Drosophila melanogaster: one gene and its partners. The protein of the gene in region 2 interacts with the protein of the main gene of each other region in a pairwise test. Each region holds a gene or a part of one and is shown on either strand. Other genes may lie near its edges.

What was found. Proteins that work in one complex are often made in the same cells at the same time.
Region 1: the proteins of CG46298 (region 2) and CG18649 interact in a two-hybrid assay, tested with the Drosophila melanogaster proteins (one large-scale study listed by BioGRID).
Region 3: the proteins of CG46298 (region 2) and Peritrophin-15b interact in a two-hybrid assay, tested with the Drosophila melanogaster proteins (one large-scale study listed by BioGRID).

What each region holds. Positions count from the first base shown.
Region 1 is NT_037436.4:15,052,284-15,056,589, forward strand, and holds CG18649 (uncharacterized protein), read right to left. Parts: upstream 1,853-4,306; 5' UTR 1,821-1,852; coding exon 1,542-1,820; 3' UTR 1,285-1,541; downstream 1-1,284. Other genes in the region: CG13461 (uncharacterized protein), read right to left, coding at 1-192; CG43680 (uncharacterized protein), read right to left, coding at 863-1,012; EAChm (enhancer of acetyltransferase chameau), read left to right, coding at 2,539-3,174.
Region 2 is NT_033778.4:10,351,417-10,355,869, reverse strand, and holds CG46298 (uncharacterized protein), read right to left. Parts: upstream 2,503-4,453; 5' UTR 2,355-2,502; coding exon 1,965-2,354; 3' UTR 1,834-1,964; exon of another isoform or gene 1,765-1,833; 3' UTR 1,481-1,764; downstream 1-1,480. Other genes in the region: CG43397 (uncharacterized protein), read left to right, coding at 198-320; CG12902 (uncharacterized protein), read left to right, coding at 638-832; CG43201 (uncharacterized protein), read left to right, coding at 2,864-2,935; CG43171 (uncharacterized protein), read left to right, coding at 3,043-3,114; CG43178 (uncharacterized protein), read left to right, coding at 3,272-3,337; CG43200 (uncharacterized protein), read left to right, coding at 3,739-3,804; CG43172 (uncharacterized protein), read left to right, coding at 4,012-4,077, 4,134-4,136; CG46305 (uncharacterized protein), read left to right, coding at 4,145-4,216.
Region 3 is NT_033779.5:8,393,162-8,397,277, forward strand, and holds Peritrophin-15b (Peritrophin-15b), read right to left. Parts: upstream 1,780-4,116; 5' UTR 1,721-1,779; coding exon 1,711-1,720; exon of another isoform or gene 1,644-1,710; coding exon 1,372-1,643; 3' UTR 1,285-1,371; downstream 1-1,284. Other genes in the region: Acp29AB (accessory gland protein 29AB), read right to left, coding at 1-50; lectin-29Ca, read right to left, coding at 399-1,109; Peritrophin-15a, read right to left, coding at 2,552-2,820, 2,892-2,901; CG13385 (uncharacterized protein), read left to right, coding at 3,579-4,116.

The DNA.
Region 1 (4,306 bases), on a different chromosome or scaffold from region 2:
ATTTCCAGAATCTTGACTTTCTTCAACAGCAGGTTCTTCCTCGGCAGCATCGGAGTTTCCCTCGCCATCATTACTGGACGAATCCTCATTGGTGTTATCCTGGATGGAGGACTCCTCATCCTCAGCTGGCCGTGCAGCCACAAGACCAACAGCCAAAAAGGCCACAAGAGCAACGACAATTAGGAATCGCATTTTTTTGTGTTCTTGTGCTCAGCGAAGTTTTAAACTGATTTGAAACTTTACTCGATCAATCGCTTTTTATATTAAATGCCTTTTTTTGTTATTTGAACGAGTCATTTACGAATTTCATATTTGAACAAATGCTTATCCCATTATTGCGTGGTGACGCACAATCTTAATTGATATTATTCTGGGAATTGTCCAGAATTGTTTTGAGTAAGTGGGTTCGTTGTGCTTGCCTCTATTCTGATTAACAGGTATCTAATAGTCGTGGCACTTGACTATAGCGACCTCTGTTTTTATTTTGTCATATTTATTACACACTCGCATGCAATCATTGAATTAAAAAGATAGTGAATGGTTTTTGGCCTTTTTAAAACATTAGATACAAATTTTCTTACCTTCATTACTATTTACTTCGCCTAAAGGATTTTCATTTCCGTCGTGGTAATATGTGCTAATATAAAGCAAAATAAAAAATCTGATATCTCCAAATCGAACTTCAAAACGTTTATTGATTTCATTTAACTTATAAAGACCAAAAAACGTATTTAAAAGTTTTACCCTGAATAAGTTTTATTTTTATTTTCTTTATTGGTGATTTATCAGTTGCTCATTTCATATTTTGTGTTTGAGAAATTGCATCGGGGGAGAATTTCTAAATATTTTTGTATTTTCGAATTTAAGCCGCTGATGTTGTAGAGCACCAGTCAACTGGGGCTTTTGGGTTGACAATAACGATAACTTCTCCACTTGGATGGGGAAGTGGGCTTGCACTCACAAAGGCCATGGCCAAAAGAGCAATTATCACGAGTACCATCAGAAAGTGCATCTCTATTTCGTAGACTTAGTTCTTCTTTGAATAAGTTTTTTCAAAGTACTGCACTTCTTATATATGAATGCCGTGTTTGCTTTAAAATTTCTATTGCAAACTGCACAATGGCTGCACCTTACTAATGTTAAGTAAATATTTGAGAGATAAAACATTTATTGATCTATTGAGCCACACATTACAGGCAGAAAATTATTTCTTTTTCCCTGCGCTGAAATAAGAGTATTAAGAGTGGCTTTGAGGCCAATTAATTAAATAAAAATTGCATTTTTAAGATTTTGTTTAGTATGTAATTCTTTACAAAATCATTTAAGAGCTGTATAAAAAGAAGTTAAGTAAAAAGCACCAATTATGATGGGTGTTTCCAGAAATGTGTGTATTTACTAGAATAACATAAAAACCTTTACTTATTTGGTTGTTGAAGATGAACTGTGTATTTCTGTGTAAACAGTTGTTTAAACGTCTAACGACCGGTGAAAGCGTGTAGATAAAGACAATAAAGAATAGAAAGGGTTAATTCCCATTAGAGCTACTCTTCATCTTGATTGTACTGGATGCTCTCGTCGCTTTCGGAATCATCATTGTTCTGGGAATCGTCCTCCGGGGATTCAGGCTCATCTAAGTCGTCGTCGGACTCGGGTTCATTTGAATCCTCATCGTCTTTCTCATCATCGTTAGCATTATCCTGCTCATCAGCAATTCGTTTGTCCTCCTCGAGGTCCTCCAAGTCGTCAATGTCCACCGGATTTGCGGAAACTGTGGCCAAAAGCACACATCCAAACAGGGCAAGCAGCAAATAGGCACGCATTGTATTGTCAAATTTAGTTTTCAACTAAGTTCAGTTCCACATTGAAAATACGCTTTTATAGCAAAATCTCTAAATTGGCAGAAAAATAAAAGCGCGCATTGTGACAATTTATTTGGTTCGTTTTGTGTTTACCCCGCGACAGCTGTTGCCTTGGTTTGAGCGTCAAAAAATGAGGCAAAGTCGTGCGTAAACATTTGACTGACGGAACTTGGAGAACGTATAAAGATTACAGTGAAACGTGGCTAACGTCATACTTTTATATACAATATATTGTATAACCTAAGGAAAGCAAACACAGCATGTTATAATCCATAGTTAACTTGCTTATGAAAATGTCTATATCAAATTAATGACTCCTTTTTATTTCTTTGTAGAATAACCACTGTTCCACCTACAATTGTTTACAAATTTTGGGAATGGCCCTCCATATTCTTATTTTCTGATTCATAGCACATTAGCTTGTTTTGCTCCGCTTACTCGAAACTTCTTAATATTTACTCACATGTTCGGTGTCGTATTTGTGGTAAGCCAAAAACAATAACTACTTCTAACTAAATATATCGTAGGCCATGATGGAACCTTGACGATTGTTAGCATAATGTAATCATGTCACAATAAATCGATCGATTTGGACAACTTTTTAAAGATATAAAAACAAAGATAAGCTAATTGAAAATCATAGTCTCAGTTGCACTCAGCCTGTATACTTTTGATAATCATGCAATCCATAGCATTTGCTCTTCTGATCTTTGCCGGTATCCTTGCCTATGGCAATGCAGCTCCCCAGATGAATTTGGGTTGGCTGCAGGCCGTCCTGGCAGAGGCTGGTCAAAGGAATACGACGGTTAAGTTTGGAAACAACACGGTGATCATTACGGGAGTGTCCAATTCCGTTGCCAACAGCAACCAGGGAAATACTACCCCATCGTCACCACGTAACCAATGGAACAACAATTGGTATCCGTACTATAACAACGGTTACTATCGCATCATGCCCACCATCAATGGTCAGATTGTCGAGGGTCCACAGTCCAGTGCAGAGGAATCCCACGAGATTTCCCAAGAGTTTTCTCATGAGATTTCCCAGAGTGACGAGGAATCTGGCGAAGATCAATACCACCAGGAGGATCAAACTGAAGAGGACGAAGACGACAACGAAACAGATCTTTCAGAGGACCAGCTTGATGACCTAGAAGAGGATCAGCTCGATAAAGAGAAAGAGTTGGAAGATGGCCATGACCAATCCGAGGAAGACAACGAAAATGAGGATGAACTGATCGATCCCGAGGAAGATGCTATTGACCAGGTTCTAGATGACATCGAAAAAGAGATAGCCGCTAGGGAAAATGAATAGGCACTGAGCCTTATTGAAAGTTTTCATAAAAAACCACTCCACTACATGTTACATTATTTTCATTTCATATTTTTGGGATCAGTCATTTATAAAAATAAACAGTTTATTAAAAAAATGGATTTTTATTTGAAGCATATTTTTAGACGAACGATATAAAATTCTTTTTAAAATAACGCAAATTTTAAATTTCCATAAATTGTTTAGAATTGAAGAAAACGTAATATGTTTTTCCAATAATTTTCTGTGACAAATTAAATGTTCTTAAAGAAGCCGCAATCATAAAATTTCAGCTTAAGTTGCTTATTTGCGTGGGGCAACTGGAAAAACGTAATGATGTTTAGTTGAATGCACAATCTGTGAAAAAATCTAGGAAAGTGAAAGCAGTTCGTGTTGGAACATCCAGATGCCATTGGAGGGAGCCCAAGGACGAGGACAGCCATTGACGACTTGTGCGCAATTGTAAACAGTTCCTGGAGGCGGTTAAAAGGGAAGAAATGTTGCCAACGAAGGAGTCAACAAGAAGGATAAAGGTAAAAGTGGCAACGGCAGTCAGGTGCTCGTCGAACATAGGCGAATTGCATTATAATGCGGCGCGTGTTAGTAATTTTTAATGCTGACAATGAGATTATAGATTTACCCAGAACGGATAAAGACATTCAATTTCTTTTTTTTTGCATTGGGTTACACTAGGCCATATCTTTTACGATACCAAAAATTGTGAGCGTGGCACCGCCCCTTATATTTAATTTTGTTACCAAAATATCTTTAAGGTAAAACCAAATATTCGGGATCAATTTTTGACCGAGTGAAAAAAGTTTTTGCAATGTTTTTTAATCTGTCCTCATTATCACCAAATACTGAATGAGCTATTGAGATTTTATATATATCCAGTATTGTCTGAGAGGTTTGGTTTTATCTTTTATATGTTAATTGCGCTGTTTTGTTACTTTTACTGCATTGTATTGATTCATTGTATTGTCTTCTCTCTTGTACGTTTACTAGCAGCAGAGCACCAAATCTTAAACATTTCCGCATTAGAGAACCTGAAGTTGCACATTAAGATTACATTCAAAAGAACAAGAATTCAATTACCTACAACACAGTATATATATTATAGTGAAGTTGGGTGCAG
Region 2 (4,453 bases):
GAAAGTGCTTCAAAGCAGGCTGTGAGATTTGGGTTAATGGGCTTTGAAACTTCGTGCCGACACTTTTCAGTTATCCGTTTTGGCCACAGCAGCAAACTTCCATGAATCTGGAAAAATTCAAAATTGTTGAAATTTAAAAAATCATTTGTTGTTCTGAGGACACCGACGTCTTCCTTTGGTTATCATCTAGCAACACCATGCATTTGATGTGCGAGCGATTGTCTGCGGTTTTTGCGGGCGTCCTAGTGGGTTTGTGGTACGGTAAGACCTTTTCCGAGGACGAAAAGCCCAAGGAGAAGGGCAAGGACAAGAAGAAGTAGACCGACCGATCACTCGCAAGACTGGCAGAAATCAATACGATCTTCTTAGGTGCGTATCTATTGTGCGAAAATGAGCCATAAGCCGCAAGATTATGTCTTTGATCTAGTAGTCGAGTCGGCAAACTTCGAGCCACTTCAACGTCCTGTCAACGCGGCAGCTCTGACATAGCTCAGTGTTTATTTGGCTTTACAATCAGTATATCAGACTTTCGACGTACACAAAATTTATAACGTGTTTGGTTTTAATTTAACATCCATCAGACAGCGATTCCAGTTTTGGTCTAAATTGTGGCAAATCCTGTCGAGCTTTTGCAGCCATGCCCTGTTGTAAGCGTACCGAGGTCCGCAGGGTGTGCCGGCCGATGCCGTCGCTCCTTGCCAGGCTCAACTGTACGCCGTGCAACCGCGTCCTGTTCTTCGTCATCGGGGTGGGACTGGGCGTGCTCTTCGTGCGCAACAAGGACGACAAGTCGGGCGGCAAAAAGAAGGACGAAGGCAAGGCCAAGAAGTAGGACTGACCGATCTGCCATGCCCGGCGGTAATATCAATCATCCAAGCCTGGCACTAGCTAATTGAACCTGGACTCATCATCACCCATGAAGTTACCCAACCGTTTGCAGCGTTAGCCAGGGAAGACAAAATGCCATTCGATAAGTTTGTCCGCCGATGAATGGAATGGAGAGGAAATTTCTCAGTCGATAAATTTATCTAAAGAGCAATTTGTCAATCGAACAATTAACTGCCACATTTAATACAGGTTTATTCGATTGATCTATTCTCTATTATATATTCCTCTGTTGAAAATGCTATAAAATTGGTGCTGTACAAGACTTACTGTGTTTTTAATATGGGCTCATTATTCAAATCTGTGGGAGCAATTGTTCGCTAAATGTTTGTAAATAGTACTTTAGTGACATGATTTGATTATTTCATTAATCGTCCTGTAACAAAATTTGCAGAGCACCTGATCGACTTCCTTATTGATCTTGATCAAGAAACGCGTTCTAATTCTTTTTCTTTTAAACGAAACTACGAGTAACGAGTTATGAAAATGAACATCGAATTTACCGATAACTAAGTGCCTATTACAATTAAAAATTGCAATCTTATGCTTTGTATAATAATTAAAGTCTGATTGACCAACCACAAATATTCTCAAATTTTTGTTGAATAACTTTAGATAAATTTACTAATTTTGGGTCCTTGCAGAGGGCAATACATTTGGTGTGTATTCATTGTACAATTTTTAATAGAATATCAACGTATTAGAAAGCCTTAGCGGTAAGAACATAGATCATGATCATATCTCAAAATCATCACGAACCCAAAATGTAAATTTCAATTTTCGGGTGATGTATAATTTTAAGCCTGATATGGTTATCCAAATTTCGCAAAGGCATTTCCTCTCTCCAGTTAAATATCCCATCCGATCTTGTTACTTGATCTGGAATTATAAGGGTGGACACTAGATAGTAAATAAAGAAGCCTTCCATCAACGCGGCAATGGACTGACCAATAGTTATCGTTAGGTATGCCATATAATGCACTTGAAAATTTTGAAGTTTAGAAACGATATGGATTCGATGAGAATTTTGGGGGAAAACATCCTGCTCCTTGACATGTCCGTTTGGGGGTCTATAGTCGTTACTTGCCCTCCTTGCCCTTCTCTTTGCCCTTGGCCTCCTTCTCCTTCTTTTCCTTCTCCTTCTTTTCCTTCTCCTTCTTCTCCCTCTCCTTCTTCTCCTTCTCCGCCTTCTCCTTTTCGGCCTTCTCTTTTTCCTTCTGCTTCTTCTCGCGCTCCTTGGCCTCCTTCTCCTTCTCCTTGGGCGATTTCGCGGCCTCCTCGGCCGCCTTCTGGGCCTCCTTCTTCATATGGTCCCAGAATAATCCGATGCCCGCCCCGATCATGAAGAACACAAAACGGTTGCACGGAACGCAGTTCAATTTCTGCCACAAGGTGGGCGGCGGGCGACAGGGAGGCGGTGGCGGAGGACAGCATCGCGGAGGCGGGGGGCAGGCGGGCTTGTCGCACATCTTCAAAGGATTATGGATTAGATGTCCGCGCAATCACAGGGTCCCTCTAATAACGTGTTAATTTTACGCCAAAAAAAAAATCAGAAAAATGATGTTAGCCGAATGGGAAATTTAGAACAGTGGGGCCTGTGTTGCCTTTGGATGTGAGTTAAGTATTTGACGTTTATTTCGTAAACTACTTGATAAAACCTAACACTCATTATGCCTAAGGTTTAAGATTACACCAGTACTTTCTTCGACCGCAATCCTTTCAAAATGGATCCTTCTTTAAGCATCCTATCTTCTTCTTTATAATGTCTAGGCTAAAGTCACAATCCTTTTTTCTAATACATCTGAAAAACAAAGCCAAAAACAAAACGTTATGTAAAATGCATTTTTCTAAAATTAAAATCAAACTCCTTAGTCTCTATTTCATTGATAGTATTGTCGCTTTAAAGTGCAAAATTCTAAATTAACAATTTTTTCAAAAAGACCTAACAAAAAGTACTGATACTTTAGGGCTGAAAATTATGGATAACTCGTGGTTCATCACTTTTATTGTAGGCTGTATTGTGGGGTATTTGATAGGCAAGCATAATTAGAAAAAGGTAAGAGCTCCTTTGCATTTGTGGTAGGCTTTTTCAAACCACTCAATTTTAGTTTATTTTAGGCTTTACAAGTTCCAAACCCACTACTTTCGTTTTATAAAATGGATGTAGATTGGGTAATTACATTTCTAGCTGGCTGTTTGGTGGGATACGTCGTGGCCAAGAATACCTGAGGATAGGCAAGAAATCTTTGGGTAAAGTTCGCCTGAAATCTTATGCCATCCTGAAATTCAAAATCCCGACTGGACTGGATTTTGATTGGGAAGATAACATTTGGTATCAAGCGCTTGAAATCATTTTCTTACTTTCGAAACCTAAGAAAAAATCAAAATGACGCACGTTATATCCTTCGCCTTGGGCGTGATTATCGGAATGATGAGCTGCCGAAAGTGCTAAGCCTAAGCTCCCAAAAAGAAAATTATAACTTAAATCAATTATGAGGAACATTGCATATATTAAAATGAACAATAAATAAAATTTAAACTTTCGTATTCATTATATTTTTGGAGAATTGCTTGAGAATGGAAGATTTGCAAGCAGTACAGCTAGTGATGTAGCATGCAGCAAGCTCAGTGCCATAGCAGGCAGAAAAGGGACTGGAAATTGGGATTGATTTTCTCAATGACCATTAAGTTAATCAATAAGGTAATCAATATTTTCGTAAGCATTGCTAAACATGAATACTTATTCATTACCGTATCAAATAAGTTGGCTTTTCTAGTAAAGTCAGCTCATAACGTATTCGTTTTGAACTATTTAGGTCGCTCGAACACCTAAAATTAAAGTTATCGGCGGAAATGGAATGGATTCTAATCTTTATTATTGGCTGCGTTGTGGGTTATCTTATATCGCAGAATACATAGGAGCCGCTTTAGAAAATTCTTTCAGCAAAATTATGAAGGTAAATTACAATAGAATCAAGTACGCTTGGTTTTTTCCATTATAATAATGTGCTTCAAATTAAAGTAATCAGTTTCCCATCGACAGTCAGAACGAAGTGTACGTTTTGTATGCTCTTAAATAAGACAAATTTTCCGTTAATATCTCGGGAATTCAAGTTTCATTAAAATATGCAGCGGTTTATAACATTCGTTGTTGGTGGCATCGTTGGTTTCCTCATCGCCAAGAATACCCGCGTAAGTCTCTGTAAATTCCATTCGTTATCTTGTGATATTCAAATTCCCTTCCTTAGTAAACACAATCATGTCCTATGTAATATGCTTTGGGATGGGCATGGTTTTTGGCATGTTCGTATGCCGCCGTTGTGAACCCTGAATAGGAGGAACCCACGGATAAATTAAGACCTTTTATCGAAAACCAGATGTCCCGAGAACTATATTTAAAATGAATTTGGAATAAAGAAATTTGTCACAATCATACTGTATTGTTGTTTACTAAGCCTAATTGCTGTTTCTTTTCTCTGTTCCAGGTAATTAACCCTTAGACAAAAAACATTTTATATTGATTCGTAAGTAAACCTTAGGAAATAAACTATGCGGGTTAGCTTGACTG
Region 3 (4,116 bases), on a different chromosome or scaffold from region 2:
TCCCAAAGGTTCCATAATGCCAACAGGTATAAGAGGTTAGATGCGTACATGTCCAGTTTGGAAGATTTCAAGCGTGTGAGATCCAATCTGGCTAAAGAACTTCCAATGAGCTCAACTAATTTTGTCACGCTTTTTAATGATAATGTAACCGTTTTAAAGCATCACTGTGAAAAGCAAAAAGGCTGGAAAAATTAAAAAAAATGAAAATCTACTATGGTGTATTGAAAAAAAAAAATATAAAATGCCTAAAGTTAATAGCTTTATTATTAAAGACACATTGCAATTTTGATGATTTAAAAAAAATACATATTAAAGTTTAAAGGAGTTCAATTTTTAAACCTTTATTATCAAAGTCACATTTAAAGTTTAAAATAGTTCTAAAAATCAATGCTCGATATTCAGGCCCATTGCTCGGCTTGGCAAGCAAAATAGTTATCATTGGCACAATTTTCAAAGTACATTTCATTGGAATTGATATACACGCAATGGTTATGTATATTTGTGGCCAGATTTGGCTTCCATTTCAGAAATGGTACATCCCTTCCGGATAGTGTAGAAATCCAGGACGCTCCATCGTTGGCACGGCTGTTGATATCTACCCAGTACTTTTTTTTGGTTTCCTCTGAGAATATTTCATTCAGCTCCTTCTCATCGAGGATATTCGCCAGGTGACCGCCCATTTGACGACACGTGTCGTATGCGCTATCCCAGGGCATCTTCTTTTGCTTTTCTAAGTAAAAGTGCCGGGAGCCAATCTTCTTGAATACGGACATTTTGATTTTGTTGGACATTTTAACGTTTTCCATGTAGGGTTCAATTTGTTGCTTTAGAGCCCGAAGTTTAGTTTCCATCTGGTTTTGAAAGGACTGCAATCGCATTTCTAAGCGTTGCTCCATATTACCAATTCTCCACAAAGTTCCATTTTGTCTTAGCGAATTGTAGGTAAACCAGTGCTGCTGGTGCATATCAATATTCTCGATTGTATAATACGGCATTGGTGCTTTTGGCAATTCATTTGTTCCTGTGGAAGTATCCTGCTTTTTGGCACTGACGCCCCAAAAGTTCCATAAAGCGAAAATGGAGAAAATGCAAGTTGCGTACTTGTACATTTCGAGGGCTAATAGTCTGTGAGATCAATTATTTAATTCCTCCTCGGACTAACCCTTTTTTTTACACTTCCCAACGAGATAATCACCCGGAACATTAACCTTTTCAAGCATTAAATACTCTGTTAAAAATTCGATAAAGATCCGAGAAATCTAGAGATATATTCTAGACTTCATTCAAGCCCATCTTCCCAGTTAAATACCATTACAAATGAACCAAAAAAAGTTAATGAAAAACGTATAAACTGCAAGAGAAGTTTATTGCTTAAGTGGATGCTTCGGAACATGGAGGATACCACTGCCAAACGCTCCAATCGACGCAGCTTCCAGTTTTCGGATCGAATCCAGTGTTCTGCTCGCAGGCAACTAGCTCGGCCTGTCCGGTGCTAGAGCACTGCCAGTAGTGGGTTGGATCCCAGAAGTCACGGGAAATCTCTCCGGAGCGTCCCACGCAATCGGGCTCACCATTGCCATCGGGATTGCAGTCAAGGTCGGCGTAGATGGCAACGCAGAGGGTCAGGAAGAGAAGGACTAAAGCTGAAACAGAATTCCGCTATTGGCATCTCAATGGTTTCAGCGATGTGAGGTCATCAATGAAACTCACCTGCTTTCATTGTGGTTTGTTCGAGTGATTAATACCGAATGCGATTGGAACGCAACGTTCGACATTTTATAGCCACCTGCTATCTATTCCCTGACATATTGTCTGAGACAATCGGAGCTATACATTCTATTTCTTAAAGAACATGAAATCGTTTAAAAATAATCTCATGATCACGATTGGTATCTGTATCTCGACAATTCGAACATTTGACGCCGTCGTACAATTCGTTTTCAAACAAAGAAGTATATTTCACCAAGTGTTGTAGTATACTTAGTTATGATATTAAAATATTATTGAACAAAAAATTTGCATATGATTTGTTTGAATTGACCGGCTCCTATTTAGACAATTTATACCCTGTAAAACTTTACACACTGAGACACAGTGTTTTTGAAATAAACAAACAAATTTTGAAACCAAGCTCTAGTTAAAAAATAAAGTTGTTTGTAAAATTAAAGTATATTGTTTATACTTTATATGATAAAGTATAATTTACTTTTCTCTCGTTCATAAACATTTTATTGCATTAAATGCAAATTAGTAGCAATACGAGTACTGTCTAATCTTTATAGGTTTCCAAGATATCATTTGGACAAAAACATCTCAAAAATGTTATTTACAAATAATAATGAAACTCGTTAACACTCAACTGTACTCAACATCCTATAGAAAGCGACTGAGCAGAAACAAAATATTCTATATACCAATCTAGGTTGCTCTATAACATTTTCCCATATCTTCGAATACTCGCAAGAACATGAGATATTTTAAAAATCCAAACAATGTATGTAATCATTTAGTTTGCCATATATTTTCATTTTTGTTGTTATTAAAAATGCAATCAACAGTAAGCAGTCCAAGACCATTCGCTCCATGAAACGCACTCCTTCTTTGTGGGGTCGAATCCAGTGGACAACGGGCACAACACAGCCGTGGCCGTGGAGGTGGAGGACTCACACCACCAGTAGCGAGTGGGATCCCAGAAGTTGCGGATGTTCGTTTGCACGTTGGATGCGTCGCTGCAGTCGGGCTGGTTGTCAGAATTGGGATCGCACGCATTTCCGGTGCTTAGGAGCGCCACGAAGAAGGCAAGGCAGATCAAAAGTAGTGCTATGGGATCGGCAAAGGGTTGAAGTATATTTCAAATGGGGATTCCTTTTCGATTTGCTCAGCTAACTTACCGGACTTCATGGTGCAATTGAGTTCCCACTGGTTTCGTAAGTGTGCTTTAACTGGGCGAATTCGCAAGCTTATATACCCCAGACCGGCACTGATATTGGCTTTCATCAATAGCAGTTATCTCCGTTGGCGGGAAGCCTGTGCGAAATTCTATTTTGGCAGCGACATGAAATCGTTTCAAAATAATCGCACCTTGTATCGCCCACCGTATCTGTATCTGTATCTCAGCGCATTGTACGCGCCCCTAAGTTTTGTTGACGCAATAGTTTGATTATATGGATGTGTCGTAAAGGTCATGCCGCGTGCCACAATCCAAACTGGGTAGCACTCCTATCAATAAGTTAAATATAGTACAAAACTAGGACAGTAAGGTTTATAATCGAAATTTAAATTTGGGGGCTTCTATTCAAATACCTAATACTTAACCGTGGGGAACCCCACATTCTTAACGCAAACAAGTCATTAGAATTACGCATTTATATTTATATTAATATACTACCCTTAACTGTTGGTGATAGCACTACCGCACTACTAACCTGGTTTTTAATCAACCCATCCGCTATACCGTATACCATACATATCGAAATATAAAACTCCAAAATATAACATTAAATCGCAGTAGGTGTCACACAACTAATTATTTGCGATATTAATGATTACAAATTGCTCGTGATAAATCTCCCATAGCGATGGAGTCGAGGGTCACCAGCGGCACAGGTCCACCGAACACCATTATGATCCAGCTGGTGTCCCAACAGCCCAGTTCCTGTGGACAGATGCAGGCCATGCCCATTTCGGTGCAGACGATACCCTTGTTCCCCAATTCCAGAACATCGACAGAGCGACCTTGTCGATCGGTCTCCATTGCCCCGAATGTAAGACCTCCAACGGATGTCCCTCCTCCTCGAAGGAATTTAAGAATCCGACCCGAGGAATATGCGACACCCAAGCGGAAGAATTCGCAAAGCCAGTTTCGTCATTTCTCCCGCAGCATAAACCAACCTCCACCGGTGTACTATGTTCTTCGACCAGAAGACCGTATTATGCCCATCTACATACCACCTCCGAGGTTTAACAATGAGCAAGGATCAAGGATGGCGACGGAGTGTCCTTGCTGTGGCCATGCCAAGTCATTGAACCCGGAGGAACCTCTAAGAGTCCACGTAGCGCAGAAAGAGTTTGTCAAATTAGAGAAGGCAACTCCTGGACATCGGGATCAATGTACTA